4 linked regions of the Saccharomyces cerevisiae S288C genome follow. Changing the gene in region 3 together with the main gene of any one other region gives a genetic interaction. Each region holds a gene or a part of one and is shown on either strand. Other genes may lie near its edges. The genes, in order: PHO89, NEO1, PHO87 and PMT6.

Region 1 (7,293 bases), on a different chromosome or scaffold from region 3:
CTCCACAGCTTCGTGAAAAAATTTCCACTATCTCCGCGTCAATGGTGCTAGCAACTATTATTCAATTTGTTATTGCAGGACCGTTTTACTTAAATGCCTTGAAGAGTTTGATATTTTCCAGGCTCATTGAAATGGATCTACTAATAGTTTTAAGCACTAGCGCTGCCTACATATTTTCGATTGTATCATTTGGATATTTCGTTGTTGGACGCCCGTTATCTACGGAGCAGTTTTTTGAAACCAGCTCTTTGCTTGTAACTCTCATCATGGTTGGTCGCTTTGTGAGTGAACTAGCTAGACATAGGGCTGTAAAGTCAATATCAGTACGTTCCTTACAGGCCTCTTCTGCTATTCTGGTGGATAAAACTGGTAAAGAGACGGAAATTAATATTAGACTTCTCCAATATGGCGATATTTTTAAGGTTTTACCTGATTCAAGAATCCCAACTGATGGAACAGTCATTTCTGGGTCTTCTGAAGTCGACGAAGCGTTAATCACAGGTGAATCTATGCCAGTCCCGAAAAAGTGTCAATCAATTGTTGTTGCAGGATCGGTGAATGGCACTGGTACTTTGTTTGTGAAGCTGAGCAAGCTTCCAGGGAACAATACTATTAGTACCATAGCCACGATGGTTGATGAAGCAAAATTAACTAAGCCAAAGATCCAAAATATCGCTGATAAAATTGCAAGTTATTTCGTGCCAACTATCATTGGAATCACTGTCGTCACCTTTTGCGTTTGGATAGCGGTTGGAATCCGTGTGGAAAAGCAATCCCGCTCCGATGCCGTAATTCAGGCCATTATATATGCCATTACGGTACTTATCGTTTCGTGTCCCTGCGTGATTGGACTTGCCGTTCCTATCGTATTTGTTATTGCAAGTGGCGTCGCTGCGAAAAGAGGGGTAATCTTCAAATCAGCAGAGAGTATAGAAGTTGCTCACAACACTTCGCATGTTGTCTTCGATAAAACGGGTACCCTAACTGAAGGAAAACTTACTGTAGTACATGAAACTGTTAGGGGTGATCGTCATAATTCTCAATCTTTGTTGCTTGGATTAACTGAAGGAATAAAACACCCAGTTTCCATGGCAATAGCATCCTATCTCAAAGAAAAAGGTGTTTCTGCTCAAAATGTTTCTAATACAAAAGCTGTGACTGGTAAGCGGGTAGAAGGAACATCATACTCTGGTTTGAAGTTACAAGGAGGGAACTGTCGTTGGCTTGGTCATAACAATGATCCTGACGTTCGAAAAGCCCTTGAACAAGGATATTCTGTATTCTGTTTTAGTGTTAATGGTTCAGTCACTGCAGTTTATGCATTAGAGGACTCTTTACGGGCAGATGCTGTCTCCACTATTAACTTGTTACGCCAAAGAGGGATTTCACTACACATTTTATCAGGGGATGACGATGGAGCCGTTCGTTCTATGGCAGCCCGTCTTGGAATTGAAAGCTCCAATATTCGTTCTCACGCAACGCCTGCAGAAAAGAGTGAATATATTAAGGATATTGTCGAAGGAAGAAATTGCGATAGTTCTTCGCAGTCAAAAAGACCGGTTGTTGTTTTTTGCGGTGACGGAACAAACGACGCAATTGGTTTGACTCAAGCAACGATTGGAGTTCATATCAATGAGGGAAGTGAGGTTGCCAAGCTAGCTGCTGATGTAGTTATGTTAAAGCCAAAGCTCAACAATATTTTGACTATGATAACTGTAAGTCAAAAGGCCATGTTTAGGGTCAAATTGAATTTCTTATGGAGTTTTACTTACAACTTATTTGCTATCCTTTTGGCGGCTGGTGCCTTTGTTGACTTTCATATTCCACCAGAGTATGCGGGTTTAGGGGAACTAGTTAGTATCCTCCCTGTAATTTTTGTAGCTATACTTCTGCGTTATGCAAAGATTTAGTCCAGGTACTGCTGCTATTTGATTGTAGATTTTCTTTTTTCTTTTCTTTTTTTTTTTTGACGACTCTGTAATACTCTATTTATTATTTAGTTTAGTTTTCTATTTAATATGATGGAATTCATAAAAAAAAAAAATACACATAGCCATGCCAGGTAATTGCAGATCAACTGATAAATTAGAAAAAAATTAATGCATCTTTAAGGTTTTAAATTAGAAATGTTTTAACTTTAAAGTCACTGAGCAATAAAAGTTCTACCTAATGTTGTAAAACTGTATTCATAACCGAAACACATTATGATTATGTCATTTGGTATTCCACACCAAAGCGAGGAGCATTCAAAATGATACCATTTATGATACCGGCAATCAAACCAGCAATTGGTAAAGTTAAAAACCAACCAGAATAACACCAGGCTACCATTCTCCAATTAACTGATTTGAGATCCTTGTTACATAAACCAACAGCGACAATACCACCAACGGCGATCTGGGTTGTTGAGGTAGGAATACCTAATTGGGTAGCCATGACAGTAGTAATAGCAACAGCTAGTTCAATTGAAAAGCCTCTTGATGGCGACTGCAAAATCATCTTATTACCTAGATTTTTGATAATATTGTAACCATAAGTCCAGCAACCAATAACTAAGGCAACACCACCATAAGCCAGAACCCACACGGGAACTTCGGACTTTGCCCCAATAGTGTTAGTTTTCCAGATCACATACACAGCAGACAAAGGACCAGTAGCGTTGGCAACGTCATTAGCTCCATGAGCAAAAGACATAGTGGCTGCAGTAATGGCTTGGAGAACCGAATAGATATATTCTACTCTATTGTCGTAAAATTTAGATCTTTCGTACATTCCTTTCAGGTCACCAGATAACATATCTCTATCATTAACTTGAGCATGAATGACGTCTTGAGTCCAACCATGAGAGATTACTAACCAGAACAATAAGGGCCATTTTTTAGGTCCTTGCTTTAATAATGACCACCAATATTGTTTCGTTGACAACTTTGTTTCTGGTTCAGTTTCAGTTCTAACCAGGTCCACTTCCTGGATGTCTTCTTTGTTTTTGACGGAATCATTAGAATTACTCGCTGCCTTATTTTCTTCGTCTTCAACAGAAACAGTTGTTCCAAGATTTCTTCTGCCCTCGTAATAATCGATTGTTAATTGATGGCCTTCTGGCATTGGTGGGATATCATCAGTGGACTTAAAGTAAAAAGATGGACCTCTGAAAATATCAATCAACTTTAGTGTCCAATCTTGGTCCAAAACTTTTCTTCTGTAGAATGGGTAGAAAAAGATGAAGTAAACGATCGAAGCAATTGCACCTGTGAGAACAATAGATACGGCAGTTTCAGTTTCAGATAAATCGTCCAAGTGTAGGTTTGGAGAACCCTTCCAGACAATCAACATTGTTAAGATAGAGAAAGTGGCGAATACTAAAACACCAACCAGCAGTAAAGCATTCTTAATCGATCTTTCCAAAGACTTAACTTCAAGGACAGAAAACCTAGAAATTGAAAAAACTATAGCTGCGATCGCGCCTGCCAAAATCGGAGCAATGAACCATGACGCAATAATTTGAGAAACACCACTCCAACCCCAAACGACACCGTTAGCTCCACCGGCTGCAATCCCAGCGCCAATTGTACCACCAACAATGGAATGTGTAGTAGAAACTGGCATTCCGATTGCAGTAGCAAATGTTAACCAACAAGACGAGCCAATCAAAGCACTGGTCATAGTAAGCATTAAAACAGCGGGGTCGTTGGTAAAAATGGAGGAATCTATAATGTTGTTCTTGATAGTACCAGAAACTCTTGCGCCTGCCAAGACAGCACCCAAGAACTCACAGAGACCCGCCAAAACCATGGCTTGCCAGTATTTTAGAGATCTAGAAGAGATCGACGACGCGAATGAGTTCGCCACGTCGTTTGCCCCGATGTTAAAGGCATCCAAAAATGCAAATAACATGGCAATGGCAAAAATATAGTCAAATTGATGTAAAGCCATTTTTGCTTAATCTTTGTTTATATTGATTCGATTAGATACGCTCCAGTATTCTCACCTTTGATCTATGTCACTCATTCTATGACAATTCATGTAAAATAACCTCAATGTAAAGATCATCTTCAGCAGGTTTATATATAATTTTCTTCATATCGAAAACCGGGCTTAGTGACATGAATTGTTTGGAGATGTCCACCCAGTAGACATTGTAAAAAAAATCTGCTATTGACTGAGTTAATCTAATGATTTACATAATAGAAGGATCCAAAGTGGCTGTGACATCTAGTATTGATAGATTAGTATTATTACTATTTGTCTCCCACGTGCTGCATTGTCATATGCAATTTATTAAGATTACATAAACTCCTTTGTACGGTATATTCTTAAAGCCTTTCAATGACTCGGGCCAATTTTTAGCAATATTTCGACATTTAAGGGCCCACTAACAAATTAATGGCACAACGTGGGGATGACGAAAAAGCAGAAAAAGAAAAAAAAGGTCTATCGCACAGCCACACACCCTTGTGGTGAAGCCGTTTTGTGATCGGTGTGGCGCGATCTGTGAAATTTAAACTTTTTTGCGGGTGAAACCGAGATTTCTGAAACTAGATTTTCTGGCTTCGCCAAAGAAAGATGCATCGAATTAATGAAATTAAACGGATGTAAGGAATGAAATTATAACGATTCCGCTAATGTTCTTTACTGACGAGTGTCACTGAAGTACTTACTCGTGAACAAAAATTAACCTATATCAGTAATTTTGATATTGTTAAAAGTAGGTATCTCTATCAAAAGAGATTATAAGACCCATCGGCAAAACTCGAAATATCGTCTTGAGAAAATCATTATACAGTACATGGTGCAATTTTAAATGATTTTTAAATACTATTATATAATCGATACATTTAGTACACGCGAAGACAACGTAGTGTTGAGATTCAAAGAGGTTACAGTTGAATACGTGACAAAGCTGACGAGAGTACTGTGAATTCAACAAACCATAAATGGTCACTCCAAGTAACGGTATTGTGATTTCAACAGAAAACACAAGCATTGTGTTAGCGTGCTCGTAAAATATTATTTCAGCGGTGAAGCAGATATGCGTTAAAGGTGGGCTCGCTATTAAATCATGAACGAAAAAACAGTTATGTCGTTACTGGTGTGAGTCGATATTACGAAACCACTGGCAGGTAGATGGATAGAATGGGACTGATTGGAACAGCGCAAGTTTTTTTCCGTGGTCGGAATTCTCGTAGTAATATTGGAAAATAGTTGGAAGAAAAATTGTGTGAAAAAATACATGCTGAAATAGTCAAACGAAGAGAGGTGAAGAATAGATAAAGCTGTTGAGAGGCAAGACAATGTTTTCAAGATGATCAGAAAAGGATACGGTCCAATATCTATTTATATTCATTGCCCTACCGTGGTATGTTAAAAAAATATGTTACATTTATTGCTCCCATTGGATTTTGCACAGGTGTGAAAGAGCTCAGTTGTCAAGATTTAGTCATTAAGAAGGGCCGCAGCAGCTTTTTGTATAATAGAGCGTCTTTTTTGTTTGTGAAAAAAATTTTATGGTGAGATATTGTTCGATTCTACGAAGTCATTTTACTAGTTTATGGACTCTGATATAAGACAGAGTTGACAAGGAAATGGTGCCGTGATTGTTTCCGTGTACAGCTTTTGAGAACTTCCTTGAAAACCAATCATCTAGCACTTTCATTTCTGGGGAAAAACCTGGAACCAAATCTTGAAAAATAAATTCCCCAGAAGTTTTCCTTATTCCGTGTTCTAATCTTCTCGTTCACTTTGCAGTGACATTCCACGGCCATGCGCAATTTACCCCGCCCCCGGATTTTATTGTCCGTACCGCCATTTTTCAATAGATTAAAAAGGAACAAAAAATCATTTCAGAAGGTTTCTTTCTCGGGAAAACACTAGAGTGTAAATATTGAATATCAAACATCGAACGAGAGCATCTTGAAGATATTTATGTTCTAAATATGACTTTAGTCAAGTATGCATGCGACTATTGTCGTGTCCGTCGAGTAAAGTGTGATGGTAAAAAACCATGTAGTCGCTGTATTGAGCACAATTTCGATTGCACATATCAGCAACCATTAAAAAAAAGAGGCTCAAAGCCTATTGGAACTAGAAGCTTAAAGTATATACCAAAGGCCAAAATGTTTATAGATAATAAAAGTTGTACGGCAGCGGCAGAAATATTAATGAAGGTTCCTAAAAAGGTGATTGATCAGTGTTTGAGGCTTTATCACGACAATCTATATGTTATCTGGCCTTTACTCTCTTATGATGACCTTCACAAGCTTTTGGACGAAGAATACAATGACCATTACGTTTATTGGTTTCTCGTAGCTCTTTCAGCAGCCAATCTTAGCGATCTACAAAGCGAATTAGAATCTGAGGGGGGATTTTCGTTTACTGGAAAACAATTAGCCGTTCTCTGTATGTCCTCACGCCAACAATTTGATGACCTTAGCGGCAGAGACATTTTCCGAATTATGACATATTATTGCTTGCTACGTTGTTTTTCACAGTCTTCTGATGTAAGAAATTCATACAGACTTTGTCGTGAAGCTATTGGCCTTGTTATTGTAGCAGGGTTACATCGTGAAAAAGCATACGAATCACTATCATTTCGTGAGCAACAGCTTTTACGCAAGGTGTATTATTTGCTTCTCTTGACGGAAAGATACTATTCCGTATATGTTCATTGTGTTACAAGTTTGGATACCACAATAGCTCCACCTCAGCCAGAGTTCGTAACGGACCCTCGACTTTCTTTGGATAGCTTTTTTGAGATGATTAGAGTATTTACTGTACCAGGTAAATGCTTTTTTGATGCTTTGGCTACGGAGTCTACTAGCGGTTCTTGCACTGAAGACTCACTGAAAAAAATATGGAAAGAGCTTCACACAGCATCCCTTGAAATAGAACCATGGTCTTATGGCTATGTGGACATTTCATTTTCTCGACATTGGATTAGGGCGCTGGCTTGGAAGCTAGTGTTTCAGATGAATGGTACCAAGTTTTTCTCAAACGCCAATAATGCTCACATATTGGTCGAAATTGCAAAGGATATGCTGGACGACATATTCTTAACTCCAAACAACCTGTATGATGTACATGGTCCTGGAATACCAATGAAATCATTGGAAGTAGCCAATGCATTGGTAGATATCGTAAATAAGTATGATCACAATATGAAGTTGGAGGCTTGGAATATTTTGTGCGATGTATCCAAGTTCGTTTTCTCCCTGAAACATTGCAATCATAAAATGTTTCAAAGGTTTTCAACTAAATGTCAGAGTGCTCTAATCGATTTGCCTATCTCTAGACCAC
Region 2 (8,856 bases), on a different chromosome or scaffold from region 3:
ACCCACTTCGGAGCTCTCTTCCGCCCAAAGAGACAAAGAGCCCATCACTTGGTTGGAAACGCAGATCACCGAGTGGTTCACCACTGCGTTGACCAATTCGCCTAAGGACAGGAAGCACAATACCCATAAGTTGAAGAAATTGACCATTCAGTACTCTATCTCCGAACAAATGGTTCATAGAAACAACAGATCGATTGTGCAGATGCTGGTTGTCGGGCTGGGCATAGGTGTGTCAATGACTTTGATCACTTACACTTTGTATTTGGGCATTAGCTCTGAAGAAACGTCATTTACGCACAAGATTCTGTTCCCACTGTGGGGTGGTTGGTACATGGTTTTGTTGATCGCGTTTCTCTTTCTTGTTAATTGTTTTATCTGGCATAGAACCGGGATTAATTATAGATTTATTATGCTGGGTGAGATTCAATCCAAGAATGGTACGCAATTTTTCAACAATGATTTTGCCACGAGTAAAATTCCGCTCAAGTTGTATTTCTTGACATTCTTCATAGTACCTTGTGCGGTCTGTTCCATGTTAAGTTTCGCTTTGGAGAAGCTCACACCCTTAGGCTTTTTATATATTGGTATTGTGTCTTTCTTATTTTTATGTCCCTCTGGTCTAATTCCATATTGGGACAAAGTTGTACACACTAGAAAATGGCTGGTGGTTACTCTTATTAGACTGATGATGTCTGGTTTTTTCCCTGTTGAGTTTGGTGATTTCTTTTTGGGAGATATTATTTGTTCGTTGACGTATTCTATTGCCGATATTGCCATGTTCTTCTGTGTTTACTCTCATACGCCCAACAATCTATGTGGCTCTTCACATTCCAGAGCAATGGGTGTTTTATCATGTTTACCAAGTTATTGGAGATTCATGCAATGTTTACGAAGATTTGCTGATTCCGGTGATTGGTTCCCTCATCTTTTGAACGCGGCGAAATACACTTTGGGTATAGCGTATAATGCCACACTTTGTGCTTACAGATTGTCAGACCGTTCTGAACAAAGGAGAACCCCTTTTATCGTGTGCGCTACGTTGAATTCGATCCTTACTTCCGCCTGGGATTTAGTTATGGATTGGTCCTTTGCTCACAATACTACTTCTTACAATTGGTTGCTAAGAGACGACTTGTATTTAGCTGGTAAAAAAAATTGGGAAAACGGCAGTTATTCATTCAGTAGGAAGTTAGTTTATTACTTTGCTATGATTTGGGATATCCTCATTAGATTTGAGTGGATTGTATACGCAATTGCTCCTCAAACAATTCAGCAGAGTGCTGTGACGTCGTTTATATTGGCCCTTTTGGAGGTTTTAAGAAGATTCGTTTGGATCATCTTCAGAGTCGAAAATGAACATGTTGCCAATGTTCACCTATTCAGGGTTACCGGTGACGCTCCTCTGCCTTATCCAATTGCGCAGGTCGGTGATGATTCTATGGATAGTAGTGATTTGGGTTCAAAAGCCTTTTCATCACTTAACGACATACCTATCACGCCTTCACATGACAATAATCCTCACAGTTTTGCCGAACCTATGCCCGCTTACCGTGGGACTTTCAGAAGAAGGTCCTCCGTGTTTGAGAACATTTCGAGATCCATTCCTTGGGCACATGCAACTGATTTCCAAAGACCAACTGTCAATACCGTGGATGATAGGTCTCCCGAAACAGATAGTGAAAGTGAAGTGGAAAGTATTATGTGATTTGGGCTGGACATGATATTTGCTATTGTTAACCTGCTAAAGATGCTTATTTGAGGAAGTACAAAGAAAAGAAAATAAAAAGTAAAAGAAAAAAAATGTAACAAAATAATATTATGCATAATCTATATCTTCTTTGTAAAAATAAGAATTTATATTTTGAAATATGATAGATTTTTTTAAGATAATCCGTTGAAGCAACAAGAAAAATCCAAACCAATTGAATTATGGAGTGGCAAACTCTTGCACTTTTGCATAACTTGGAGGATGTAGCCTTCTATAAATTGCCTTTGCCGTCCAGACAGGAAAGATCGAGATGAGTAATATAACTAAAAGTCCAGCATAGTAATTTACGGTAGTCATATAACCTAAATCAAAATAATCGCCAAGAAATGGAACCGATACAATGTAAAATAGTAAAGTAGCAATTTCAGTGACGAGCATTGTTTTATTCCATGTGTAGATTTCTAAGGCAACCATTATTAATTCATTTACAACCAAAGCAGTGAAGCTGATAGCAACCATCCTTGTGAAATCAGTATCTAATAAACTCGTAAAGGCCTGAGAAAATAATTGAATTACAGAACCTTGGAATAGCGATAATAGAACCCAAACAAAGAACGTCTTATATGATAAGCTCTTACCTTCAGTCAATTCTTTGTACAATTCTGGGTATATTTTAGTCAATGACTCTTCGATATCGTGATCAAGAGTTAATGAAAAGACTGGAGCCATTGTATAGCAGGTAGCATAACCGACCATTAACCAACCTTGATAAAGAGCAATAGGTTCGAACAACGAACAGATGGAATATACCGCTTGGCAAATTGCAATGATTAAACCTCTATGCATGACAAATTGAGCCAATTTAGCAGATCTTTTGTAAGAGTTCCTACCATGCCATAATAGTAATTCGGTGAGGTGACAAAATTGCGTTATAGAAAAATCAGCAGCTAAAGAAGCTTGTTTACCTTCTTTACCCACAATCCCTACGCCAACATCTGCACATTGAATCATACTAACATCGTTACCTCCATCACCAATACAGCATACCCTTTTGCCCGTCATTTTACGAATTACCAAAGCAACGTCTGCCTTCTGTTGAGGTGTACAACGGCAAGCAATAACAGTGGGTAAATGAACCACGACATCAAAAAATTCCTGTTCGTAATGTTTCAAAAACATTCCCAGGGATTCACCATCTATTAAAAGACAAGCATTTCTATTGATTTTTAGATACTCCAGCTGATTGAATGCACCTTCCGGTCTTGTGACTTTTGTTATCGTATGAACATATTGGCCACGAGATATTAATTTTGCACTTATGGAAACACAACGAGCAGTTTCAACTTTATCACCTGTCAGCATCCAAATCTTGATACCTGCGTTTCTTAATAACTCGATAGAGGACTTCACATCCTTCTGTAACTTATCTTCTACACCAGTTAGACCCAATAATTCAAGATCATGCTCTAAATACTTGGTGATAACTTGACTCATCTGTTGATCACGATTTAGCATTGACAAAGAGGCATCGTTGTATTCTTTTTGAAATTGCTCGTAAATTTTCTTGTTTAATTTTTTACGACCGATAACCAAAGTACGTAGACCTTCACGAGCCATATTACCTGTTTCTTCCTCTAGCCAATCATTGCTTTCCACAATTTTTGACATGACAGTATCGGCCCCTTTTTGCATAAACCAATATTCATCCAATTGCTCATCACGAACAATGATACCCATACGCTTAGAATCAGAATTAAATGGGAATACTTGTAAAATTTCGTAATTTAAAGTCTTACCAGAATGTTCGTGTAATAAAGAAATTGAATGGCGATCTCTTTTGAAAAGAGATAAGCCAACCGACTCGGTAAATTTAACAATAGCAATTTCATCAGGTGATGCCGCTTGATATGTAAGTTCGTCATCCTCAAAAGTGGGAGTAACGTTATGGCAAATTGCTAGAGTTAAAATCATATCACGTACACGAAAAGACATATCCTTTCTTGTTGTTGATAAGGCAACTTTAGAATTGTTCAAAGAGTCATTTTTAGAGCTCACCAGAGATTGTACATAGTCGGATACAATGTCTAATGTTTCCGACGTGTATGATACAGTACCCAAGTGTATTTTCTTCAATTGCATATCATTCTGAGTAAGCGTCCCTGTTTTGTCGCTTAGAAGGTATTCAATACGGCCTAAATCCTCTGGAATTGTACTCGTTCTAACAATTGTTTCAGGAATGGTTTTATCGTGTTCGATCTGATGTGCATAAACACTTTTGGCTAAATCTAAATTAACTCTTAAAGAGACAGGGATGATGGTAGAAAACAATATCAGATACCTCAAAATGTCAATGTACCAGTCGTCATTGTGGAAACCGGCAAATGCAACTAAAAGAATTGACAGGGCAAAAACACATGCACAAAGAATCTTGGAAATACTGTTAATTTCTAGCTCTAATAAGCCAGTTTTAACCTTAGCTGTAGTTGTATTCATAGCTTGCCTAGTATCTCTGCCAGTGTAGACGACACAAGCAATACAAAATCCACTGGAAGCTAGAACAGTATTCGCCCATAGAGTATTATCTACAGACAAAGGGTTTGAAGTGGAATCCTTATAGGTAACTTTACCTAAAAATTTATGAATAGATTTCTCAGGAGCAGAGGCTGTTATACTAATTCTGTTAATTAAGTCATTTTCAGATAGATTTTGGGTCAAGGGACAGGCAACACGTAGTTTCCAGTCAGTCTCCCCATCTAGTTGGTCAGTTTTGATAAATGACTCGCCTGATGGTTCACTTGATTGTAAAAGAACCAAATCAGCGGGAATACGATCACCTTTATGGACTTTTATGAGATCTCCAACTTTTAAGTCTTTGCTTGGTATGGAACGATTTCTCGTTATTACATGATACAGTTCATTGTTTGACTCTCTATCACGTCTCCTTCTCTGAATATCATCTATAGCTTCCTTTGCCATGGTTACTGTCAGCACAAATGCTAAAGGTACAATATACGATGATAAATACCCTATTCTTAGTGCAGGAACGGCCTGCGATAATGCAACTACTAAAAAGTATAAATTGTAAAAGAATTTGAACTGTTCATATAATAGGGTTGGCACAAAAGTAACGGCATTATATTTGGCATTAGATAGTTCATTCGAAACGTATCTATTCCTATCGTACACAGGAGTCGTGTCTGGATGTATTTCTCTTTCGATGTGTTGATCACTGAGTTCTATGGGTGAACCAAACTTGGACCAGTTTTTTGTGTTAGATACTTTTAAATATGAGAGGGCTTTTGAAAAAATATTGTTTGAAGACGACGGTGGTGACGAAGCAATATTAGTAAATTTGAAATTATCATCCTGCGAGAGGCGATTATCATACATCAAAGGATGGGTATCTGTGTTTGAAGACTTACGATGCGAATCCGAAGAATGGTTAGAAAAATTGTCTAAATCATCTACTGTTCTCATTTCAAAACTTTCCCTATCTCCAACAGTGTTATGCTTACTAAGTGGTTCTGGGTTATTATTAATTTGTAAACTGTCTAAAGCAGCGTCAAATGAATCGTCGAGATGTAAGTCAAAAGAATCTACACTGTTTGCGTGTTGATTATTGTTGGAGTTGAATAAATTCTGCTTATGTGACTTAAATGAAGGAGGGTTAGGCATTTGTCTCTGAAGTTTTCCGTGCACACTGATACCCCTTTCTTTTTCAGATTAACGTTATGCCACACAAGTGCTCTGATTGTTACTTTTTCTCAATTGCTTAACGGTATATTGCTGTTAATAAGCTGATTGTTGAGTACTGTATAAGCTTCAAAAATCCAGATGAAATCTTTTATTGCGTAGATCAGGCTTCTAATAGCAGCAAATTCAGGTGAAACAATGCCTAAAATATTAAATAAAAAATAGGTATTGAGTAATTTTGGTCCTCGTTTTAAGTAACGAATGTGTCCGAAATTCCCAAGATGTCTAACCTTTTGTTTGGCAGTGATAGGTCTTAGCCACTGTGCCAGTATTTACTCTTTCCAACTGCCTCAAAAAGGTATGGCCTTACCTTCGTTTTTAATGACACGTATACGAGCCTTTGCTGTCTAATTAGTGGTAAAGTGATAATAGTGAAAGTAAAGTGGTTCTTTACCGCGTCTATATATATATGTATATGAATGCCCTAGTGTGCACATTACTAGATTATAAAAGGTATTATGGCGTAGGGGGCTACGTGATTGTCTTTAAATTTGTGCCTGTAATAATTTTTTGTTTCCAATGCGGATATAGTCAAACTTGTGATTACCCAAACTAGTGTTAGGTAAAATTCTTGTTCATAGGGCAACAGAGTAGAATAAATGATTATTTCATCGAGATAATGAGGACAGCATACCAACCTGAAAAGCCTTCCTGTTGGCAGCGAATATTTAACCAGATTGGCCAGAATAACATGATTTTTGTACTGATCCCAAGATGCTATGCAGAATATGATGAAAGCATTCATGTTTAACGTATTTGGAATGGAGTTCTTGTACAGTGATATATTAAGAATTAACAAGAGTACGGAATAGAACCATATACCGACTAGATAATGGGACCAATTCATCCTAGAATTGCTTGTATAATGTAGTACATAAAGCGTTTCATAAAGTCGGCGCAATGAGTGTCCAAATATGATCCAAACGATGGGGAATTTAGGATAGAAATATAAGGTGACTAAGGATAGAAAGGTAGCCAAATAGTAAAAATGGGAAAAATACGCCTTTGGAACTGTGAACTTCTTGATTCGTTCTAAAATGCTTGAGTACTTTGAATTCTCTTTGGGCCGGTAGGTTTTACCATATTGAAGAAATTCTGGTAGACAACTTTTTGCTATGAAAAGTGAGCAAATGCCTACAAAAAAGGATAATCTATAGGCATATATAGTATATTTTAGCAATTGTTCTTCATCAAAGTACATTGGACTGGTAGATTCTACGTTTTAAGCCAGATCGGTCCGCCGATAAACCTATTTATATTCCACATTTGGTATATTTTTACTTTTTCGAAACGTCCTTAATTCTCATTTTGGAAAAAAAAGAGAAAGCATAATACTGAATAGAACAAGGACCGAATTTCTCTTTACCGGTAGATTATGATTTATTTGGGCAAAAAGTTTTTTTTTTCATTCTATTGCAATAGCTATCATTTCAGGAGAAATGCTACTAATATGAAAAACCACTGATTTAAAAGGAATATTAAATTATTTAAATATAACCGATATGTACGCGTTACGTAAATCAGAAATTGATATGTATAATACGAGTAACGGTAAGGGAAGGGCATGAATAATATGCAGGACAGCATTCTACTGGTCGTTCCAGAATTTATATAACAAGTTTGCATATTTCTGCATTTCTTCGACTGAAACCAATAACTTGAAATCACATAGTATCAGGAATTGTAATTCTAAATGGTTTAACTCTTGCAAAGAAATACCTCCAACCTTGGCGTATCGAGAGTTACTGTAAAAAAAATCACTCAAGAACTTCGTGCAAATTGTGACACCTGTTATGAGCAATCTATGAATGTTCCCGGAGTCCATGACGAATAATTGCTTTGCGCAACCATTACGCTCAGAAGAATGCCCATAATTTTTGGAGATTCTATCGAAATATACAAGGAGAGAAAGAAAAATATCATTTGTGGTGGGACAGTACTTTTGAATTCTCTCTAAGTACTGAACAACAGCTATCTCTGGAACATTCTTTCCATAGAAAGCAAGGATTGGAGTTAAGAGTTCGTCTTCGGTCTCATCCGACACTTGTTGTGAGACATCTGTAGTTTCATCGTTTGCTGTTATAATTCTGTTGAGTAGCGCACTTATCATTAGTATGAGTTCATCTGTGGGAAAGTCTGCTATGTTTAAGATCTTTACATCAGTCTGTTCATTTGTCTCCTCGTCCAGGCTATGCGTTTTTGCTTCCGACTCTAAAGACTTCTTTACAGCTTGTACAGGAGAACAATCTAGTAAAGATTTCGAAGAGAAAGGGCTTTCCAAACTGGGGTTAGTAGATATTTTGGACAGCAAACTACTATTGTTACTTGAAAATGGATCGGTCTTGAAGCTGTGAGAATGTGGTCCGATTATTAGGTTATCTCTATTCCCCCCTGGTATATTTATTGGCGATGTTGTGGTTTTTTTTGATGGTGAACTTAGCTCCATATTTTTCTCTAGTGTAAGCAGTCGTTCGTTCTAGCTCGGTTTGCTTTAGTCTGATTACAGTAATTAATGTCTGTTAACTTTTGTTGTACTATTTTAAGAACCGTAGATGAATATATAGATATACTTTTTGTATATATAAAGGTTTGAGATGTTGAAGCCTGCGCTGCTATCCCCTGCTTTGTTTACACCGTTTTGGACCCATCGCAAGATACCGAGATTCCGAAACCGGCCTCAAAACTCCCAGAGATTAGGCGCGATAGATAGTAATACCTTAAGCCATAGTATGCCTATGGATGCAAAATGCAATGATCACTGTCCATGTTATACAATTAAAAGAGCCCGTAGAAAAGTGCACAGGCGGTGATCTTAGAAGACCAGTGCTGCTTATTGGATAAGTCTCTATCATTGAAGGACGTTATTCACTTTGCTCCTGTGTACGCTCTCATTTGCGGAGATGCGATTCCGCCTCTGTCGCTCATCCAGCGAAAAACACACCGTATGGATCCCCTGATATATATAAATACATATGACTAAATGGGTCTTACACATGCATAAGAATTAGGTTAGCTAGTAAATTGTGTGAGATTTACAGGTAAAAAGGACAACACATACACACAAATATATTACCAATAATGTTTTTAAGAAATTCCGTTTTGAGAACAGCTCCAGTCTTGAGGAGGGGTATAACAACATTGACCCCGGTCAGCACCAAGTTGGCCCCACCCGCTGCCGCCTCTTACTCCCAAGCTATGAAGGCCAACAATTTTGTGTACGTGTCTGGTCAAATCCCTTATACTCCAGATAACAAGCCTGTTCAAGGTTCTATCTCTGAGAAGGCCGAACAAGTTTTTCAAAACGTTAAGAATATCTTAGCAGAAAGTAATTCTTCTTTAGACAATATAGTCAAAGTCAACGTATTCTTGGCTGACATGAAAAACTTTGCCGAATT
Region 3 (8,308 bases):
TGGTGGCAGGTTTTTGTTAAGTAAGTCGAAACCATTTAAATTAAATGGCCTTTTCCAATTGCATAATTTGGTTTTAACTTCACTTTCATTGACGCTTTTATTGCTTATGGTTGAACAATTAGTGCCAATTATTGTTCAGCACGGGTTATACTTCGCTATCTGTAATATTGGTGCTTGGACTCAACCGCTCGTTACATTATATTACATGAATTACATTGTCAAGTTTATTGAATTTATAGACACCTTTTTCTTGGTGCTAAAACATAAAAAATTGACATTTTTGCATACTTATCACCATGGCGCTACTGCCTTATTATGTTACACCCAATTGATGGGCACCACATCTATTTCTTGGGTCCCTATTTCATTGAACCTTGGTGTTCACGTGGTTATGTATTGGTACTATTTCTTGGCTGCCAGAGGCATCAGGGTCTGGTGGAAGGAATGGGTTACCAGATTTCAAATTATCCAATTTGTTTTGGATATCGGTTTCATATATTTTGCTGTCTACCAAAAAGCAGTTCACTTGTATTTCCCAATTTTGCCACATTGTGGTGACTGTGTGGGTTCAACAACTGCCACCTTTGCAGGTTGTGCCATTATTTCTTCATATTTGGTACTATTTATTTCATTTTACATTAACGTTTATAAACGTAAAGGCACCAAAACCAGTAGAGTGGTAAAGCGTGCCCACGGCGGTGTTGCCGCAAAGGTTAATGAGTATGTTAACGTTGACTTGAAAAACGTTCCTACTCCATCTCCATCACCAAAACCTCAACACAGAAGAAAAAGGTAAGTGTAAAATCTTTGAAAGAATTTAAGTATTCAACTTTCGTATATTCGTTTTTTCTTAGTGGATCTATTGTTACTATTATCACTATTATTATATTGTAAAAGACCGGATGGTTTTGTTATATATTACATACACATGTTATCGTTGAAAAAAGTTTTCCGTTTCCTTTCGACAGTCATCAGATAATTTTATCCGAGTCTTTTATATGTTAAATCTTGTTGACAAATCGTCCGCTCTAACCCTAGATAACAACAATGATCTTTTTATCATTTCTGGCGTTATTTTAGCGCCTCCTCCCACTAATGTTAATTGCTTATAGTTACCTGAAGGAGCAGCGAGGATGGAGATCGTACTGTGTATACTTGTTTCTTCCGCTTCAGTATCTAGGTCTGCTATTAGCACAGTGTTCAATTTATCCATATCAATGTCCACTTCCTCTTCTTCAGAGTTATCAGAGTTTTGTAATTGGCATTCGGGGTCTAACTCCACTATCCCATAATTTGAAGCAAATGCAATATTCTTTGCGTTTATCATTAACGGTACTGACTTAGTTTGGTCGCAAATAATTTCATACGTTTCTCTTATGGTGGCACTTCTTCCTCTTGTTCTTATAGTCATTCTTAAATCGGACGCACGCTCATCTATAAATGCTCTAGGTAACTTTACGCTCTGTAAAGCGTACATCAAAGAATTCCAACACAAATCGAAGACTGGACCAGTGCGACTCAAGACTACAATTTTCGCATACAAAACGTATGACCATTTTCTTTTCATTTTCAGGTTTGTTTCATTCAGCGTATCATCTTCTAATTCATCGGGATACAAGACGGAAAACGTACCGTCTTCATTCGCACTACGAACACCAGCTTTTACCTTCAAGGCTTTTTTAGGCAATATCCTAGAGTGCAATATGGAATCGTGTAGTTTTTGTGATATAGTCATTTCTTCATCGGTGCAAGCGCCCACTCTACCTCTTTCAACTTCCACCACCGGATAGACAGAAGCATAATTTGCAATTATGTCCTCCTCTTTGGTCACTTCGAACAATTCTTCCTCACCGAAATCATCCAAATCTTTAATCGCGGCGCTAGTTTCTTCTATTATTCCACCCGTAATAGAAGTTATGACTATGGTTTTCCCACTTTTCAAAACATTTGAGCCTAAAATGTTGTTTTTAGTGTCTATATTACCAGCATCCGCATAACGCGATAAAGTATTATTTTCTATAGCAACATCTCTAAATTCTTCATATTTTCTTAGACATGGCCTGATTCCTAGGGATAAGTGTCTTTGTAAAGACAATTCTGGAGATATTCTCGCAAGAACTTCAGGTGGAAAAGTAATTGGGTGTATCTCAATAGTTTCTAACGTGGTACTTTCAGCCATTTCCAATATTAGATGCCTGTGAAACTACTGTCAAACTTATTTGTGTAACAATACTCATCGTCTAATTTGTCCATTATTGTTATATACTCTGTCATAAAAAAAGAAAGAAAAATCTTATACTTTCGTCGACTGTGATTTGAAAATCTCTCCAGATCAAACGGGAATAAAAGGGTTTATATCCGAAGGTGGCCAGAACAATCATGAAGCAAATAGGATAAAAATAGCCAATAAGATGTTTGTTGTCTTTCATCCCAAAGTTCCAACAGCATATTTCAAAGATGGGTATTACAGTAATAGGTTCTCTAAACTATGATTTGGACACATTTACGGATAGATTACCTAACGCTGGAGAAACTTTCAGGGCTAACCACTTCGAAACACATGCTGGTGGTAAGGGATTGAACCAAGCTGCGGCCATTGGTAAATTAAAAAACCCCAGCAGCAGATATAGTGTTCGAATGATTGGTAATGTTGGAAATGATACATTTGGTAAACAATTGAAGGACACTTTATCCGATTGCGGAGTCGATATCACTCACGTCGGTACTTACGAAGGCATTAATACGGGTACCGCTACCATACTAATTGAAGAGAAAGCTGGTGGCCAAAATAGGATATTGATTGTAGAAGGTGCTAACAGCAAGACTATTTATGACCCGAAACAGTTGTGTGAAATTTTTCCAGAGGGCAAGGAGGAAGAAGAGTATGTTGTTTTTCAACACGAAATTCCTGATCCTCTTTCCATTATTAAATGGATACATGCGAACAGGCCGAATTTTCAGATCGTATATAACCCCTCACCTTTCAAGGCCATGCCTAAGAAAGATTGGGAGTTGGTAGACCTTTTGGTCGTTAATGAAATTGAGGGTCTTCAAATCGTGGAAAGTGTATTTGATAATGAACTTGTTGAAGAAATAAGGGAGAAGATAAAGGACGACTTTTTAGGAGAATATCGTAAAATTTGTGAGCTTTTGTATGAAAAACTCATGAATCGAAAGAAAAGAGGAATTGTGGTTATGACTTTGGGTTCGAGAGGGGTGCTTTTCTGTTCGCACGAAAGCCCTGAAGTACAATTCCTTCCGGCTATTCAAAATGTTTCGGTTGTTGATACTACAGGAGCTGGAGATACTTTCCTGGGCGGTTTGGTTACTCAATTGTATCAAGGAGAGACCTTGTCTACGGCTATAAAGTTCTCTACATTAGCTAGTTCATTGACCATTCAAAGAAAAGGTGCTGCTGAAAGCATGCCACTGTATAAAGATGTTCAGAAAGATGCATAAAATCTACTGCAATTTTTTACTTTTAGTTTGTTAAATTTTAGTTTTCGTCATATATATAAAGTTTAAAAAGGTACAAAGAATGCAGTAATAAGAAATGTAATTACATGAGGGCAGTTTAAGTGCTACCTTTTAAGACGGAAGAACTAATACCATAACCGAGAGTAATTACGCAGACAAACGCTAACAACGAAGCAGGAACACCTCTGGAGATAAAAGCGCCTACAGTTAGCCATCTATTACCCTTTTTATCGGTCATAGAAATAGCAGTAACGTTTGGAAATCCAGATGAAGCCAACCCCATACCGCATGAGGCTAACAAGGCGCAACCGAACACAAGAATTGGAGCTGCCTTTGGATCGGATAATTTGTCACCAACTTCTTGCACCAAGGGAATAATGATGATTGCTGACACAGTATGTGAGACAAAAGTGCCCACAACTAACATTAAAATACCGAAAATACATAAGATAGCAAAAACACCATCGTTCTGAATTTTCTTTTGTAATGCTCTTGCAATAGTTACCAACAAGCCTGAAGATGAAACTGCCTTACCAAGGGCTATACCACCCATAGCAAGAACAACAATTGACCAAGGGAATGTGTTGAAATCCTTTGTTGATAGTAGACCTGTACCAAAAAACAGGACTATCGGTATTACTGCAATTTCACCGGACGATCCAAAAGCACTTTCTATTTGTGACTCTACACACCATAGAAGAATAGTAGCAATAGTTACAATGATGATAAAATATTGCTTTATAGTAAATCTGGTCCTTATTGGTTTAAATTTTTCCAGTTTAGTTTTGCCTATTTTAAAGGTGAGTATCATCAAGGCCCAGGAGCACAGCATCGATAGAATACCTGTAGGCAGAGCGACAGCAAAAAATTGCCCCCAGCCGATTCCATAAGGTTTTAAGTACTGCATGGAGATGATATTCTGTGGCGAAGAAATAGGTGAAGCCATACCACCAATATCTGCCGAAAGTGCAACACCCATGACTAATGCCTTAGCAAACGGTGAAGTGTAGTCCAGCGGATCTAGTAAGGGTGTTAATAGAGAATATGTCAATACTGGGGAGGCAACGTTGGAAATCCACATCGAAAGAAAGAATACAACACTCATTGCCATTAAAAGGACATTTCTTGGCTTGGTACCTGCAAGGGCCAATAACCACGATGCCAAAACTTTCGCAACGTTATATTGCGACAAGGCTTCACCCAATGTGAAACCTGCTAATAAAATCATAATTGTTGACGACCACATTGTACCTAAGATTTCTGTAGAGGCAGCTGCTGCTCCCATTACCTTACCGTCATCGTCTTTTAGTACCCTAAAAAGGACAGTTAGAAGGGGAACCAATAAACCTGTGATGTGTAATGGAATGGCTTCACTAGCCCATAAGAAAGCACAGCATTCTACCAATGCCATACACCGGTGTTCGACAGGGTCATTGAAAGTTTTAACACCCAACAAAACACCTGTGACAATGATAATGAAGCCTATTTTCATTGCTCTTTTCCCAAAAAATAGCTTAGGAACTGCCAAATTTTCAATTTTAGTAAACTTCAAATTAATTGGCTTAGGCAATGGATACTTGAAATATTCAATTTGAAGCTTTTCTTGCATAAGTTTCTCAGCTTCATCTTCAATAGTTATTATATCGTTATTTTGCGAAGAGAGGCCCAACATGTCTTTCCATGTGTTGCTTCTTTCCCAAACAATGTGGTCGTGCAGGTACGACTTTAACTCTTGCTTGCATGAATCTACGTTCCCAGGCTGACCCATGAGAACAGCATAAAATTCAATAAGTTGTGCAATTTTACTGTTTAAACTGCTTAAAGTTTCATGCTGGAAGATGTAGGTGTCTTTGAAAAATTCTTCACTTTCTATTAATTCTTGCCTAGTGTTCATGTGCAATACTTTATCAGACTTCTTAGTAATTTTACTGAAACCCATTCTGTTCAATTCGATAAAAGATTTCAACTGGCAAAGGTCTATGTAAAGATTTATTATTGTCTGTTTTAATAATGACTTTTTCTGAGATTTAATGTTAAATTGCGAATAATTCAAGAGGGCGGTATTGTCGGTAGTGTCAGCAAACACGTCAACGTCATCATCTTCATCCATTTCTTCTTCGCTGTAATCAAACCTATTTCTCAATTCACTGTCGATGTTTGAAGAGTGTATTTCAAATGGGTTATTAGATGAATGTGTCTCTGATGTACCAGAAATAATTTCTCTTAAAGGAGGCAATGCTTGAATTTCAGGATTGAAAGTTTCATTCAATCTTGTTACAATGCCTTCCTTCTCCAAATCATTAATCAAGTGGTCAAATCTTTCATAGAACTTAGCTTCCATTCTTTTGTAGAAATCATCTACTTTCAATTTCTCGTCGCTCAGGTTAGTTACGAATGTATCATAAGAACTGAAGAGCGTCTTTCCCTCGCTACTCACAGATGAGCTGCGTGATTCAAAGAATTTCTTACGTATAAAATTCTTATTGAAAGAGGTGGTTTTCCCTTGAGGAGATAACTCGTCTAACTCAATTGTTTCCTCGTTAATATTGTTCCCATCTATGGCCTTTTCGTCGGAGTCTCCCCTTTTGCTTCCTGAAGGTGTTTTAGAACCAAAGAGCTTACGCTTGAGTTTATGTGTAAATCTTCTTTTCGATGAAGATGGTTCTCCTGCAGCTATGTTGCTTTCTATATCAGCGATTGGACCTGGAGTCTGAGAGTCAGCGTCATCGTTTAAGTCACCGGTTGGCGTTTCTTGTTTCAATTCATCTGTCTGTAATGTGTAGATCAAATTTTTCAATTCGTTATAATCTAGGTAATGATTCTGCCATTCAGGGACAGCGTTGTATTTGAGAAAGTGTGAGAATCTCATTTCGAGGCACAATAATAGCCGCCTTTACCGTAGTTTTGCTGCACCTTTATCTGAGAGCTGACTGCTTTTTTGGTGTGAAACACTGTTTTCTGGTAATAATTTTTCAATGCATCGGATTACTTTTCCCACGTGCGAAATCATCAATTAATTAGATTGAAAAAAGGGTAAGGGAAAATAAGAAAGAGGCGGTAGCCTAAAGATACGGTAATTGAAACGTTTCCTATGCACAATCTTAAACCTTTTTAGGTAATTGATTAAGTTGACTGTAATATCTGTAAAAGATTACATCTAATTTACGTCTGGTTTCTTATCAAAAAATATTATCTACTGTAGTTATGCAAGTATTCTTAATTTTCAGTACTAAACATGAATATTAATTATTTGTGAGCGTACAAGAAGCAAAAGGAAGTCATCTTTCTTTGAACAGTTCTGTTTTTAGGTAAGCCTTGGAACCTTAGCTATACTGACTTGATACGCCCTGTCTTTGTTGTCGTTATATAAAGTGTGCACCTTTATCATAGCCCCTAATAAGCTTCTTGCAGTAGTATTTGAACAGTGTATATCTTCATATTGCTTTTGTTGTAAATATTGCGCAAAAGCGACTATCTTTGTGATTTGGTTGAACTTTTGCATATTCACGTTATTACCATCTTTAGTGAATGTATCGTTTCCGTCTCTTATGAAGGTAATGTCCCTGATAAGCAGTGATGTAAAAGGTACACAAGGAAGCTGACTGTGGAAAATATGTTTAATTGTTCTTCTATAAACGTTGTAGTTGTTGTTTGGATGTACGACGACTTTTAGGCGCTGAAAAAGGTGGTCTGATTTAACATCTATCGGGAGAGATAGTCTTTCTATTGAATGATTTTGCAATGATGTAATGATTGAAGCAAGTGAGTTTAAGTTTCGTAAGTATAGACAAGACAGTGCAACTTGTAACCAGTAGGAAATGGTGTGCGTTTGCTGCAAAGTTGTCTCAAGAACGTAGGACGATAACTGGTTGGAAAGCGTAAACACGGAGTCAATTGTTGTATCGTTGTGTTTGAAATGTCTTGTGAATTCTATTGTTTCAATATCCAAGTAAAGAGAAGATTCTAAGAGAGTCAATGTCTTTGCAAGTGACCATGGAGATACGTTTAGAGCGAAGGCTTCGACTTCTAGAAGTTCACCCTGTTTCCATTGGAAAAGTAAATCACTGAGGTCAGTTGCACCGCACAATTCATCATTTGCGTTCGTTTTGTCTATCTCGTATTGGAGAAATAAGTTTTCGTAGTCCAGGGGCGGTTTATTTTCTTCGATTTCCTTATCAGTTAGACCAATGTAATGAATCTTCAATTGCCTCGTTCTTTTTTTGTTTATAAACAGCTGAACTATGTCTGCAAACAGTTCTTGGTATTCATAATATTCAGCCAAGTGACTGTACCAAAAATTGAGGATATCTTTTAATGTTGTCTCACTATCTTGCCAATAAGACTCTACCCAGATTTGTATTAGACGAGGGACGGAGTGATTTTTGTGTTTGTTTTTATTAATTGTGGGATAGGATAGTAGCAACTCTTGGAGGAGAGCATTGTCAGTTGTCCAGTCTCTGAAGTTAAGTAGTAAGTTTGCGGAGTCAAAGGGGGATGGCTTTTGCCATTTGTGAGAGTTGTGCGGCAGCATCTTATTCAAATAGAGCTGTATTCTGAAGACCTCTTGTAGAACATCATCCATACTAAAAAGTAAATCGTCCTGTCCCATTACGAGCTGTATTAGTGCTGTGACCCTCTGTATATTTACGTTGCCATGAAGAAGGTAATGGGCGATATTTTGATACAATTCCTGAGTTGCATGTTGGATTGAGTTTACGAAGGGTCGCCAGACGGCCAGAAACCTCCAGGCGGAGTTAACAACTAGTAATACGGCATCCATGTTTGCATCAGCGCCGAGCCTATACCAGTCACTGAGTAGACGTTTTCTTGC
Region 4 (7,831 bases), on a different chromosome or scaffold from region 3:
TTAATCGTATTAAGTGTATATATGAATAAGCTATTAACCCTACCCATTAATTTCCGGGCGGGTTGTTATTTTTATCAGTATTGGCCTCTGCCGGGCGGCTAGCACGCTGGGTAGCTGCTGCGACAGCGGCTTCTGCTGCTTGCATAGCATTTTTTTGCATTTTTTTACCTGCAAACTTCATACAAAATGGCATCAAGGATGTATTGAGGGCAACCCATGCCACGAGAATACCGTAATTTCTTCCCATTTTTCTTTTGGTTAAATTCAAAAAAATCACTTTATAGATATCCACGGCATTATGGATTGGCATTATGTAGCCGTACCTGTAAAATTCGTTGTTCAAAACCATTGGGTAGAATGAAGCAGAAATATTTAATATGATCCACGTCATCAACCAAATACTCAGGTATGGAGGGCAGTAAGCTATAACTAAGCTGAGAACGTTTTCATTGGCACCACCAACAGCCATCATTACCAACCACGTAGACATCCAATATACTACGAATCCTCCTCTGCCAAAGGCGGGGGTGAAATCGATCCTAAAAATTGCAGATACGGTACAGAATCCAATGGAAAGAAGAAAATAAGTTGCCCAGGAAATTAGAAGCCTGTAGATTAAAATATGCTTTGGCTTCAGAACTCTGGCCATTTCTCCGTGCAACTTACCATATAATGACAGTTGTAAAACGGTTAACAAAATACAATAAATCAGACCGACCTGCAGAGGGGCCATTAGAATACGATCAGCAAAGGGACGATAATCGTTGTAGGTGAACAACAACTGTCCTGCAATCGCCCAGTTCTCCATGTTTATATTAAGATCTCTGTCATTAGAAGTGATGTTGCTCATCAATGAGGGAAGATATTCCTTGACGTAATATTTCTGAAGGCGGACCTCCAATTGTTGCATGAGTGGTAGAATGGTCGATTTAACACTCGATGGGTCACGACCACTTTCAAACACGGATTCAAAAAAAATTGATGAATTGAACTCCGAGTTTGCGTCTTGGCTAATCAAAGAATTATACAAAGTGTCTGTAGCATTAGGTTTAACGTTTAACGCCAGCCAGTATCTCTCATCGTAAATTAAATCGACTATCTTTCTGTCAATTTCGGTGGAGTTCGTCGTACCAAATTTCCTATGAAATGATGTTGCGTTGTATATATGCCATGTCCCGGGGACAGACGCTAACAATGAGGGTATGATCGCGGAAATAGATTGAACTGAAGTATTAGATGGCGCATCCTGCAATACAACAATATTTTTCACTTTGAAAAAGTAACGATCTGTTCCGTAACAGGCACCCCAGTAAATCGATATGAGCGATACACACACACAAGCAATGAAGAAGTTGTTCAAAACAAACTTCGAGAGAATCTTTTTCCTATGATTTCGCAGTCTTGGAGAAAAAAGCCCTGTTTGAATTCTTGCCAAGGGACCGCCGTCGTTACCGCCCTTCTCTTCCTCATTAGCGCCACCTTCCCCCACAGATGACAATGAGGACGGCTTTTCATCAGGAGGCCGATAGTCTTCTAATGACTTTGCTAAGTCAGAAGAATGGCCGGAACCCTCAGCAAATCGCTGATTACTGTACGAAACCCCGTCCCTGCCGCCAGTAAATGCAGCTGCTGCTGCAAAACTAGGGTCCTCAATGTACTGTGACTCTTCATCACCAACCGATTTAGTCATATTTGTTCTCTGTACGGCTACTTACACTTATGTCAGTACCCGATTCTTACGGCGTATAAAAGATTAAAGAAACAGGATATGTGGCTTGATATATACAAAAAAAAAGAACGATATGGAGTACACTATGTATCTCTCAACAATGCTAAGATATGAAGACGCTTATTGACTACGCCAGTCCGTTTTCCATTCCCTTCTTCGAATAGGGTGGCCCGTTGATGACAAAGCTGCGAGTCATCTATCATCAAACAAACTCACGGCTTTCGCTTTTCTTTAGTCTATTTCGGATTGTACCACCTCCTCGGACATTCATAAAAGGATTCGAAAACGAATAACCACGCATATACACGGAAATAGGAGAAAACTAAACGGGAATCGGTTTATTTTTTTCTCAACATTTCTTTTTCCTGATTTTCCATCCTTTTCGAGATCCACCTATTGTGGTGAAAAATAACGAAAATATGTGCTTTAGGTGTGCAAGGCATAATGTGTGGCATACTGGAAGGAACAAGTTGAACACGCCAGCTGGAAAGAAGTTCAATACCAACTTGCCCAATGCCTAACTCAAATGTTCGGATTCCTCCTACTGTTCCATCGAAGATAATAGATGTGGTCGACCAAGCGCTAAGAGCGCGACTCTTAGGTGGCAGCACCTTCAATTCAGGGTTTGATAGTTTAGATTCCGTACTTAACTTACAGTTTAGACTACATTACCATGTTATTGGATCGAATGGGCCTGCAAAACCAGTTTGTGATGTTTTACTGAAGGAAAGTCAAAATTTAGAAAAGAATATGAGTATGATGGAGGAGTTGAATGACTATCCGGAGATTACAAAACTAGTGGAGAAAATTCTGTTCAATTGCCTCGGTATTCTTTTCTTCCACAGGGGCCAATTTCAGGAATCGCAGCGGTGCTTGCTGCACTCGTTGAAAATTCATAATAACACTGCATCGCAAAAAACAGCACTTATGGAGCAGTATGATAGGTATTTGATCGTAGAAAACCTGTACTACCGTGGTCTAGTTTCGCAAGACATAAATATCATGCAAAATGTTTTTTACAAAGAACTACTGGCCCACGTGGATACGATCCCTCCCGAATCAAACGGTCTTCTTTTCGAATACATCAGCTTGATCGTCGCAAAACTCAGGTTCAATCAAATTCAGGATTTAGCAGAAAATTTTAAAACTACCGTCGAAAATCCTTTTATTCTTTTCCTTTACATGATAAAGAAGTTCCAGTCACCTCTCAAAAAGCACATTGATAATGATGATCTTTATTTGAAGTTCGGACAGAACGTTTTGTTGAAGGCCAAATTTCCTACTGCTAGTGAGACAAATGATGAAGCTTTGGAGCATTTTAATGTCTTTTTGCAGTATTATTTCAAATTCACTCACATAAAAAAAATAAAAGTGAATCCCAGTTGGTATAATTTCATAATATCTTCAATGGAAAAGACTTTTCAAAGTATTGAAGTTTCGAAAACAGCAATGTTTCTTTTCCAAAACCTAAGCGATAACAGTAATGACGAAATAAAGAAGAAGACATTTAAAAGAGAATCTATACTAAATTTTGTTAATTTTGTGAAATACAACGACAAGTACTATCAACTGCACGATAACTCCCACCGTGACATAATTTCATTCATTGATGCGTATTCTTTTATTTTACAAAACTCCTCCAAAACCGATTCAATCGAAAATGTTTTTGATTACGATAATACGGTATCTACGTTTGCGACTTCCTTGAATTCCTTCTACAAAGAATATAATTTGCCATTAATGAGCCAATCAGAATCTTTAGATTGGCTAGAAAACAGCACCAGATGTGTATACCCAGGAAACATTTCGAAAGTTCTAACAAATGCGTGGTCAACATTGTACGAAATCAGAAAATATCAGTTAGATTTTCTTGTATCTAATAATTTGACTTCATATCTATGTAATGCAATGATGCTGTCCACAAAAGAAAAAGACAATGCTGATGTAGAAGAGCAGGAAGAAGGAGAGGAGGAGAAGGCATTACGTGAATTACAATTTAAATATTCTTACACTCTAGCACAACAGAGGCACATTGAAACTGCAATCAAGACTCTAGAATCATTGATATTAAGTAAAAACCCAAATTACTACAAAGCTTGGCATCTATTAGCTCTTTGTAGGTCTGTGCAAGAGGATAAGGAAATGTCGTACAAGATAGTTTGCTCTGTTCTAGAAGCTATGAATGAAAGTCTTCAGAACAATACTTTACTTCTGAATGATAGATGGCAATTTATTCACCTAAAATTAACGCAATTGGCGCTAATTGAAGAAATTTTTGGCACTTTAGAGGCACTGGAGACACTTCCAGAGGTCTTTGAATTATACGCAACATTATTTCCAGATTCACAACCTGAATTGAACAGCATGGGTCCCAAATATTCTCAAACTAAAGAATATCTTTTACAAATGGTGTGGATTTTTGCTGCAAATATGTACATGAGAACAAAAGACAATGATGAGGATGCCAAGGCCGCCATCAAAGAAGCCTCCAATGTCGAAAGTAAATTCAAGAATTTAAATTGTAATATTGCTAACGGTTATTTATCAATAATAAAAGATGAACCAGGCGTGGCATTAAAGGAATTTGAAACAGTTCTGTACTATGATGAGAATAATTTAGATGCCTTGGTCGGATTCGCTGAATTAATTTTCCCTGAAGAACTAGGCGTCGAGGAAACTAATCTTGAGCGTTATTATACTCTCAGCCTTGATAAAAAACCAGGTAAGAGGGCCAAACTTACGTTCGTTAATGACACAGATAGGTCAGCAGCGTATGCAAGACTAAAATTTCTATTGGAGTGCGCAATACTAGAATCGATCGAGGCTTACTATTCCCCAGAAGTTTGGTGGTATTTGTCCCTCATTTACGAGAAATATCAAGATGACGAGTACAAAAACTCTTTGCTAAAATGTATTAAATACCAAGAGTTGAATCCCATTCGCTCCCTAAGGTATTGCAATTACTAACGATAATTCTTCTGATATATACACACACATATATACATATGGGCGCAAGTATATTCTGGTGTAAAGATACTCATAGAAAGCATAAAGATGTAATTCAATCTAGTTGTATTATATTATTCATTGATTTATATTAATTTGATGAACAATGGAACATCTTCTCTTCAATAACGGTTTTGCCCATATACTTGACGTTATTAGGTTACCCGTTTTTATAAATGTAATAAGTTCAATAATTTGAAAAGAGCATTAGCTATAGTCACGTTTCGCGTTGAAACAATTCTTTAAATTATCTTCTCTTGGCAGTTTAATATACCAAACGATAGTCCTAACATACTGTTTTTCTTATTATTTACCAATGAGTAAAGCCAAGGGAACGGGATTTTCATCAATTGATACTGAAGATGAAAACTTACGCGAACGTTATGTTAATCAACCAAAAGCTAATGCCTCCGATATTCAAGATGAACAATTAGATTGCTTTGAGCAACTAGAAGAAAAACATAGGACAAAAAAAAATGAAGAATACACTGCGTTGAAAATTTTAAGGGATGTCATAGGTCCCCTTTTATTAACTATAACTTCGTTTTATCTAAGATTCCAACATATAGATCAGAACAATTATGTTGTCTGGGATGAGGCTCATTTTGGGAAATTCGGATCATACTACATCAAACATGAGTACTACCACGATGTCCACCCTCCACTTGGTAAAATGCTTATTGCATTGAGCGAATGGATGGCAGGATTTGACGGTCAATTTGACTTTTCCTCTAATAATGCATATCCGGAAAACGTAAACTTTAAACTAATGAGACAATTTAATGCCACATTTGGAGCTCTATGTACACCAGTAGCTTTCTTTACAGCCAAATGGATGGGGTTCAATTATTTTACTGTTTATTTGATTGCTACGATGGTAACGTTGGAACATTCATATATTGTCCTCTCAAAATTCATATTGCTAGATTCAATGCTGCTTTTTTTCTCGATGACGACTTTTGCCTGTATGATAAAGTTGTATACGTTGAGAAAGCAACAAATGACGAAAAAATGGTCGTTATGGATGTTATTAACTGGTTTATCTATTGGTTGCGTTTGTTCTGTGAAATGGGTTGGTCTTTTTATCACAGTTGTAGTCGGCCTCTACACATGTATAGAACTATTTTTGCTCTATTGTGATAAAGAATTGCCTAGAATAAAATATTACAAACATTGGCTTATCAGAATCATTAATCTGATAGTAATTCCTTTTCTTATCTATCTCTATTGCTTCAAAATTCACTTTGTGTTGTTGTACAAATCTGGCACGGGGGATTCTACTACAAATACGTTATTTCAGATAAACTTGGAGGGAACTCAGATTGAGGCGGGTCCTCGTGATGTAGCATTTGGGTCAGAGTTAACCATAAGGTCGCATGGTTTAAGCCCGAATCTGCTGCATTCACATATTCAAGTATACCCAGAAGGCTCTGGACAGCGCCAAATCACTGGATATGGATTCGCAGACTCTAATAATGTTTGGAAGTTTGAATTTTCTAGGTCTTCTGGATTGGAACTAGATCAGAACGGGACTTTGAATGGCAAAATAATCCCAATAACGGATGGTGTGGAAGTTCGTCTCAGCCATAAAAATACAGGATCGAATCTTCACTCGCATGATGTACCTTCTCACGTCTCTAGAGGAAATTATGAGGTTTCAGGCTATGGGTCACAAAGTGTTGGCGATGAAAAGGATGATTGGATAGTGGAGATTGTGAAACAAATGGATTCACCAAATCCCGTCTATTCTAATGAGAATTCAACTATTTTACATCCAGTTTCTACTTTCTTCAGGTTGAGACACAAAGTTTTAGGTTGTTACTTGGCTTCTACTGGATTGACGTATCCAGCTTGGGGATTTAAACAAGCTGAAATCGTCTGCAAAGACTCCTGGAGTCGTAGGGACAAATCGACCTGGTGGAATGTAGAAGATCACTGGAACCACAATTTAGAAACCGCAGAAGATTACGTTCCACCAAAATCCAATTTTTGGACCGATTTTATTCTAACTAATTTTGCCATGGCCTCCTCTAATAACGCGTTAGTGCCTGATGAGGATAAATATGATAGTTTATCGTCTGATGCATGGGAATGGCCAACCTTGCATAAAGGGCTAAGAATGTGTTCATGGGCGGGATATATCACTCGATATTACTTGATGGGATCTCCCTTCAATACATGGATTTCTACTGTCTCCTTAATCATCTTCCCATTTATTATTCTTTTTATATTATATCGTTGGAGGAGACAAACGCTTTATCTCTCAGACGATCAAATCTGGCAAATAACGATACAGGGTATTTTTCCTTTCATTTCCTGGATGACACATTATCTGCCTTTTGCAATGATGGGGAGAGTGACGTATGTACATCACTACGTTCCCGCTTTATATTTTGCAATGCTTGTTTTCGGATTTGTGCTTGATTTCACTTTGACAAGAGTCCATTGGATGGTCAAATATCCCATCTATTTGTCATTGTTTGGCGGATGTATATACATTTATAATTTATTTGCTCCAATATGTCAGGGTATGCATGGTGATAAAGCGGAATACTTACCTTTGCAGTGGTTATCTACTTGGGATATCGCACCTTAGTAAAAAAAAAAAAAACTCCAACTCCTTTACACAGAATCACGAAAATTGTAAATAATAATGCCAAATAAAGGCATTAACTTATTATCCTCTTCTTTTCACATGAGAAATGATATAGATATTGCCTATTCATATGCTAATGAGTATATACGGGTGGACAAATCACTACTTCCTACACCTAAAAATAATTTACCGTTTCTCTTTAAATGTGACCACCTCAATCTTGTAATTTTGTCTGCTGGTGTTATATCCTCGTTTAGCTGCGTTATTAACTCAAACTTTCCCAAAGTATAACTGTATAAATAAATCTCACCGTTTTCAAGACCCACCGATATCAAAATTTTCTCTCTTATCATGCTGTCATGTATGGAAATAGCAGTGACAGCTTTAGTGTGTTTAATTGATGCTTCCAGAACGTAGTCATCAGCTGGCTCCTTTTGGTGCCTCCATACTTTGACAGTTTTATCCCTGGACGCGGTGACAAAAACATTACCAAACTCTAA

The links.
Region 1: mutations in PHO87 (region 3) and PHO89 are lethal when combined (synthetic lethality), as found in Saccharomyces cerevisiae (2 studies listed by BioGRID, with this or other methods).
Region 2: of PHO87 (region 3) and NEO1, extra expression of one rescues a mutant of the other (dosage rescue), as found in Saccharomyces cerevisiae (one study listed by BioGRID).
Region 4: mutations in PHO87 (region 3) and PMT6 together harm fitness more than expected from each alone (negative genetic interaction), as found in Saccharomyces cerevisiae (2 studies listed by BioGRID).

The regions. Positions count from the first base shown.
Region 1 is NC_001134.8:794,590-801,882, forward strand, and holds PHO89 (Pho89p), read right to left. Parts: upstream 3,934-7,293; coding exon 2,209-3,933; downstream 1-2,208. Other genes in the region: cation-transporting P-type ATPase PCA1, read left to right, coding at 1-1,910; TYC1 (Tyc1p), read right to left, coding at 5,534-5,653; transcription factor MAL33, read left to right, coding at 5,934-7,293. UniProt on the Saccharomyces cerevisiae protein: Sodium-phosphate symporter. Active in early growth phase.
Region 2 is NC_001141.2:257,964-266,819, reverse strand, and holds NEO1 (aminophospholipid-translocating P4-type ATPase NEO1), read right to left. Parts: upstream 5,384-8,856; coding exon 1,928-5,383; downstream 1-1,927. Other genes in the region: SYG1 (Syg1p), read left to right, coding at 1-1,705; DFG10 (putative polyprenol reductase), read right to left, coding at 5,901-6,662; PCL7 (Pcl7p), read right to left, coding at 7,050-7,907; isoleucine biosynthesis protein MMF1, read left to right, coding at 8,540-8,856. UniProt on the Saccharomyces cerevisiae protein: Flippase that catalyzes the hydrolysis of ATP coupled to the transport of lysophosphatidylserine, phosphatidylethanolamine, and phosphatidylserine from the lumenal to the cytosolic leaflet of the Golgi apparatus membrane and ensures the maintenance of asymmetric distribution of phospholipids.
Region 3 is NC_001135.5:190,840-199,147, forward strand, and holds PHO87 (SPX domain-containing inorganic phosphate transporter), read right to left. Parts: upstream 6,347-8,308; coding exon 3,575-6,346; downstream 1-3,574. Other genes in the region: fatty acid elongase ELO2, read left to right, coding at 1-796; exosome non-catalytic core subunit RRP43, read right to left, coding at 995-2,179; RBK1 (putative ribokinase), read left to right, coding at 2,458-3,459; Ras family guanine nucleotide exchange factor BUD5, read right to left, coding at 6,782-8,308. UniProt on the Saccharomyces cerevisiae protein: Involved in the uptake of inorganic phosphate.
Region 4 is NC_001139.9:892,451-900,281, forward strand, and holds PMT6 (dolichyl-phosphate-mannose-protein mannosyltransferase PMT6), read left to right. Parts: upstream 1-5,051; coding exon 5,052-7,331; downstream 7,332-7,831. Other genes in the region: SNG1 (Sng1p), read right to left, coding at 47-1,690; YPP1 (Ypp1p), read left to right, coding at 2,243-4,696; Elongator subunit ELP2, read right to left, coding at 7,454-7,831. UniProt on the Saccharomyces cerevisiae protein: Protein O-mannosyltransferase involved in O-glycosylation which is essential for cell wall rigidity. Transfers mannose from Dol-P-mannose to Ser or Thr residues on proteins.